2 linked regions of the Oryzias latipes genome follow. The protein of the gene in region 2 binds, or shares a complex with, the protein of the main gene of each other region. Links are inferred from orthologs where the notes say so. Each region holds a gene or a part of one and is shown on either strand. Other genes may lie near its edges.

Region 1 (3,450 bases), on a different chromosome or scaffold from region 2:
CTTCTCTGAGAGCTGAGGTTTCCTCTGAAGAGTGATCCTTCCAAGATATCTATTTCTAGGATTTTTTTTAATCGTTGAGAACATTTCTTTTAGGATTTCTACAACTCATTTAGCTCAGAAAACCAATTATTGATCCTGAAACTGGACTCCGTGTGTCCAATCAGGAAAAATCTGCTACAAATGGCGGACAGATGTCTAAGGCTGAATCCGGATTCTTCCCTCATCCCTGCGGCTTCTCCCTACCCCTTCATTTAGCCCTCCAAACGGAGGGATATGGGAAAATATTGTCTCCTGATTCGGGCATCACTCCCACTCGACGACATAATCCATAGTCCCCGTCAGCGCTCGGAAAATTCCTAACATCAGTTTTATAACGTTAAAGAGTGACGCTAAAACAAAAAGTCCTTAACTTCAGTCCTTCAGAGCAAACCCAAGTGAAGAAATGCATTTCTCCTCTACAGGATCACCCTTTTGAAGGGTTTGCCCCCTTAAACTATTTCAGACCCTCCAAATGCCCCAACAATTGGAGGAATAGGGAGAAGCCGGAGGGGTAGAGGAGGAATTCGGATTCGGCCTTAGTTAGCATTGAACATGTGAAGGTAACAGTCAGGACTGTAATATGTTTACATTTTTATTAACTTCCAGCACAACAGTTTCCCCCCCCCCAAGAAAAGTTCAAAGAATTTATGTTAAACTTCCAAATACTTTCTCAAAGCCCTGTCTATCCACCACCTTTCCAAAATACACAGAGAAATACAACGTCTCGGGGCCGCTGTACCTCTGAAGCCGGAGGATGGTCTCATTCGCTGAATCTCCAGTATCTCCAATGGTCATAACATCGGAAACAGGAATGTACATATCACTGCGCTTTCCCCAGAAAGTAAGGTGGGAAACTTTCAGCACGGTTTGAGATGGATCAAGGTACATCATTCCTACAACCCTCCTGAAGAAATGGCTTAGCGTGTACAGCATGACGCCAGCAAACGCAGCGATTCCAGTGGAGTAGCTGACCAAAAAGAAGGAGACGGCTCCCTGGAAATACAGGACAAACACTGGAGGCAGGATGACAGCAGTGATGGCGGTCTGGAGGAGTTTAAGTCTGGACACCGCCCTGAGGAACTTAATGTGTGGCAGGGTGTAAATCATTGAATATTTGGGGGTGGGCGAGTCGTAGTGTCGGATCAAAGTGGGAACTTTAGCTGGAACGGGTCCAGGGTGGCTCTGAACTGATGAGGAGTGTGGAGAAGGAGGAGACTCCAAGGTGTAAGCAATCCGTCCTGAGAGCAAACAGGATCCTCTGGTACATGACAGAAGGCGGGACGTCAGCCTCCGCAGCAACAGCGACTCCATCTGAGAAAAAACTTCACTTAGAAAAACATCCTTCGAAGTATGCTGAGAGACGGAAAAGCAGTTAAGGTTAGTTTCTTCCAATATCTCATAAAGTGATTTAAAGTTACTGGTATGATATTGGTCTGGTTTAGTTCAACCAGACTCTAACATACATGTTCAATGAAATCTGGGATGGATAAACTACAACATTTGCAATACAGTCAACTAAAACAGTTGTAATTCCTCCTAAATTTGCTAAATGGTATTGTAAGTCAAATGTCTTATTCCTGGTTTTGAACTCGTCTCTGGTATCTGGAAAAGGTAACCTGCTGAGACTAGAGACAGTTCATTCTGAACAGTTGTCGAACCTCCAGAACTGTTTAGTATATAAATAAAATATAAATAAAGACGAAACATCTTAATTGACGAATGAAGTTTTGTTGCTACAAGCAAAACGTGAGGAAAAAGACTCACCAGGACAGGAGACAAGGACATAAAATAAGATAAAATACAGCAACACGAGAACAGGAAGTGATCTGTTAGCCGACCAGTGACCCGGAAGTCCTTTCTTAGTCTTTTATTTTATTACTTCAATTTATTTCAAAGTCACATTTTGTTTGGTTGGCTGGCCCACGTAAGGCGTTTTAAAGTGCTGATAGTATTTATAGCCATATTTTATTGAAAAAAAATGTTTTATATTTATTGTGGTAAATTGTTTTTATTGGTTAAAAACTACAGGCTTTTATTTTGTCGTGACTTGACGGAGCACATCCGGCCCGACGGGAGAATCGATCAGCTTCAGCCGTTAACGGCTGTGTTCAAAGACGCCGAATGTGCCGGTTTCGTTACACGTTCGATGCCGTCACAAGTCAGCGGGGCGGAGCTTGTGCCATGGCGAATATCTGTGCCTAGACAGGTTAGAAAGTCTGAGTGACGCGCGGGCGGTGCTTCCGCTTCCTCCAGCTGTTTCCAGACAGGAGAGGAGCCGCGATGCTTCCGCTGGGGGACGAGGTCGCCCTCCACTCGTTGGTCTTCGTGCTGGTCTTACTGGGGACCCGAAGTCCGCTGTGGTCTGCCGTCCTCACCACTTCCTTGTACTGTTTTCTAGCCATGTTTCGTTTCCCGCAAGTGGCGCGCAGCCGAGCCCGTCTCGTGCTGCAGCCGGTGGGTTGCGGGGCGGAGAGCGCGCGGGTGTCCGTGATCGCTCACCGGGGCGGCGCGCACGACGCGCCGGAGAACACCATCGCTGCCATCAGAGAGGTGAGACGAATGTCTTTACAGGTGTTCACGGTGTCCTGTGTCACGTGGAGACGCACGTCAGTCAGTGTCACATTATTGTGAAAGCTCTGGTGAAAACGGCGTTTCTGGTGTTTTTAACTTGATCTCTTGGCTTTTTTATGGTGATGAAGGACAAATATGAAGAAAGTTGAGAATATAACTGCTTTCCTGAGTTCTTTTTTATTCAAATCGTTGTGGATCAGGAGCAGACGAAAAAATGCTGTTGGAAAAAGATCGTATTTGTGACGTAGACAGGGGGCGGCGCCCATCGGTAGCTTTGAGTTGCTAAAGCAACTGCAAGATTTGGCAAAGCAACCCCAAATATGTAGGAGCCCCACCGTTTGAAAGAGCTTACGTTATCGGACATGTCCTGACTAGAGCTGTCCAAATCTACCATTCCAACATCCAGGGCCCTAGAAATTTCCCAGAAGTCTCTGCTAAAAAACAGTGTGCATGATGCTCACTAGATCAGCGAATATAGACCACAATGCATTGCGTTGGACCAATTATTACCAAAAACATGTATTTTTTTAATGAATCAATGTTTTTATCTTCAGAAGACGGTTGACTAAAATAATCGGTGCAAAACGCTCATAGTAATTATATTTTAACTTTGTGAAATCGATGACATCATATCTGCCGTGTAAAAAAAAAAAAAAAGTTGTGAGCATGGAGTCTGAATTGCTTTTTAAATCCAAGACACTACATATATATATGTACATATACGCTACACAGTTTTTCAGTAGTTAGAGTTGGAATTCAGACAGAGCAGAAGTTTAACTATTTAAGTTAAATGATTAAAATCAATTTACACAAAAACACTGACTGGATACATTTCTTAAA
Region 2 (2,819 bases):
ACCCATCGGTTAGAAGACGTACTTGATTTTCCCTGTGAGGACTTTGCCGGCGTGCTGCATCCCTGTGAGGGCGACGTACATCCTCAGGATCTCGTTCGTGCCCTGCAGACACACACAGAAAGATAAGAAGGACCAGCCTGCTCTGTGTGGAAGTATGTGTCAAATAAAGCAACATAAAAAGAGAAAACTACATATGATGATGTAAACAGCTGAAACTTCGCTGACAGATGAGGAGATTGCAGTCTTGATGGGGAAACACTTTTGAGGCATTTATTAATAATTTCCACTTTATCGCACCAGATGTCAACGACATCCCTACAGCTGATGATTCCTGCTGATGACATGCGCCTGACGTCTTCAGCTGGGGGAAGCGGAGCCACTACAATCCAGTGACCCACAGTTTCAAGCACAGATGTAGTTTACATGTAACTGAAGAAACAAGGTCTGAATTCCCTCACTACTCACTATATGGTGCGTTAGCATTTTGTATTACAAAATAATAATTCAAAATCCTAGAAATTTCCCAGAAGTCTCTGTGAAAACTAGTGGGCATTGTTGCATTAAAACTAGGGCTCTAGTCCTGCACTATATCATATTTTATGGGTTAGGGAGAAGTGAGGAAATTCAGACATAGCCTAGGTGTTTGACATGTTTTGCTGAATATTTGAGACATCAAAACTAATACTGGTAGTTCCCAGTTTGGTTTTTACTGTGTGGTCTCTTGCACGATCTCCATCAGCTTCACAGCACTGAGAGCTTAATTGCATTAATAGTCATTGCATAAGAACCTAATGACTGATAGAAAATGCCTGTTAAAAGTGGTGATAAAATGTTCGTGTGATTCATGACTGAATTGCTGTAATATTTTATTTTTTTGTCGCCAAATGTCTAATTTAGCAGTCCTTGTACAGGTTTGCTCACTGCGCACGGAAGCAATGTCTCCAGCATATATTTTTCCTACACCAGTGTTTACATTAAGCTTTGTAAATGGCGATGTCCACCTGCGTTCCTTAACTTTTTTGCGTGTAGAAACTGACATAAATAAGGCTTCTGGTCAGCTCTGAGGCCCCAGTTTCTCCTGAGATTCGGGGAAATCCTGATGTTCAGCTTGGACAGTTTTTAGTACAGGACACCCAGAGGCTGCACTGATCGGATCCTGAACAGTGACACCTGCATACTGCAGCCCTGCCTCATCTTTACCTCAAAGATGGGTAGGATGCGGCAGTCCCTGACGAAGCGCTCATACGGGTAGTTCTTGGTGTAACCCAGACCTCCGAGGACCTGCAGAGCCTCGCTGACGCAGATCCAGCCTCCCTCTGAGCTGAACACCTGCGCGGCACAGAGACATCAGGGTGGGGCTCAAGCCTAGCACGAAATAGAGCACAGGAGGGGGGAGGCTGCATCTACCTTGACCATGGCAGCTTCCAGAGAACAATCTGGAACTCCAGGTCTATCCATCATTCCTGCAGTCAGGTAAGCCATGCTCTCCATCACAAAGGCATTGATGGCCATCAAGGCAAACTTCTCCTGCAGAAACACATGAGGACTTTTTAGCTTGGGTGTTAGCTGCTTTATTACAGTGAGGAGGCTGACAGCATACCTGGATCAGGCCAAACTCACTAAGGCTTTTGTTAAACTGCTTCCTGGTGGCGGCGTACTCAGAGGCCATCTCTGCGGAGAGAATATATAGAAATGCAGAGACTTCGAAAAGCACCACAACCTTCAGAGAATATCTGCTTACCGATCAGCTTTTTGATCATTCCGGCACAGGAGCTGCCCATGCTGAACCTTCCAGAGTTCAGGATGTTCATGGCGATCTGTTCATCACAAAGCTCCCATTAATGACCGACAAACACCTTCAACTGGTCAGGCTGCAGAGCAGGGCACAGTTTACCTTGAATCCTCCTCCAATCTCACCAATTACATTCTCCACCGGCACCGGCACATTGTCAAAGGACACCTCACAAGCTGGAAGTAGAACCAAAGCTCAGCTTCACAGACCCGACAAAGCTTGGAGTCCAACTCCGCCCCACTTACTGTTGGATCCCCGGATGCCCAGCTTGTCCTCTGGCTTGCCGCTGGTTATCCCCCCAAAAGCCCTCTCAACAATAAAGGCTGAGATTTTGTCTTTTTTGACTCCGTCCACCTCCACCTCAGTGCGAGCGAACACTGTCATGATGTCCGCCATCCCTCCGTTTGAGATCCAGAACTGACAGACAAAAGAGGAAGCTCAACACACCTACATGTAAAAAAAACAAACACGTGCACCCATGTGAGCGTCCACCGTCTCACCTTGGAACCGTTGATCAGGTAATGTTTTCCATCTTCAGACAGGGTAGCTCGAGTCTGAATGGAGGCCGCATCACTCCCACTGTAACACCAGATAACAGTCAGCCACGTGCACACAAACGTGCACTGTCATGTGCACAGACAATTCAGTGTTCTATTCCCTGAGTGCATAAAACTGTAATGTTTGTTTTGGGAAATTCAGACATGAAAAAAATTGTTTAAACTTTTATTTTGAAAATTTAAGTTAAAATGATGTTAATCGTTTGATCCAGACTCTTCCTAACAGGGTGACAAAGAAAAAATAGAAAGACGCTAAAGTGTTTTGTTGTAGAGGAAAGATTATTAAGATATACGACTACTTTCCTTCGAAATAAAAGCCTGTGTACTTTCAGTGAGATAAAAAGATGTGTGTGGGGGGGGGGGGGGGGGGGGGGCTGTGTGTACATGCATTCTCTCTGTTACTGCTGGCAGATATTCCCGTGCTCCATCACCTCTTTGCTGTCGGGCTGTGAGCAGAAACACGAATGAAG

Evidence for each region.
Region 1: acad9 (region 2) and tmem186 share a complex: the UniProt entries of both Homo sapiens proteins name them as parts of the mitochondrial complex. The link is inferred for Oryzias latipes from reciprocal best matches to the Homo sapiens genes ACAD9 and TMEM186.

Annotation. Positions count from the first base shown.
Region 1 is NC_019859.2:36,187,796-36,191,245, reverse strand, and holds tmem186 (transmembrane protein 186), read right to left. Parts: upstream 1,964-3,450; 5' UTR 1,825-1,963; coding exon 1,804-1,824; intron 1,351-1,803; coding exon 685-1,350; 3' UTR 616-684; downstream 1-615. Other genes in the region: gde1 (glycerophosphodiester phosphodiesterase 1), read left to right, coding at 2,320-2,589. UniProt on the Homo sapiens protein: As part of the MCIA complex, required for efficient assembly of the mitochondrial complex I.
Region 2 is NC_019863.2:25,296,320-25,299,138, reverse strand, and holds part of acad9 (acyl-CoA dehydrogenase family member 9, mitochondrial), read right to left. Parts: intron 2,372-2,819; coding exon 2,293-2,371; intron 2,210-2,292; coding exon 2,038-2,209; intron 1,969-2,037; coding exon 1,895-1,968; intron 1,818-1,894; coding exon 1,742-1,817; intron 1,672-1,741; coding exon 1,601-1,671; intron 1,528-1,600; coding exon 1,408-1,527; intron 1,330-1,407; coding exon 1,201-1,329; intron 103-1,200; coding exon 23-102; intron 1-22. UniProt on the Homo sapiens protein: As part of the MCIA complex, primarily participates in the assembly of the mitochondrial complex I and therefore plays a role in oxidative phosphorylation.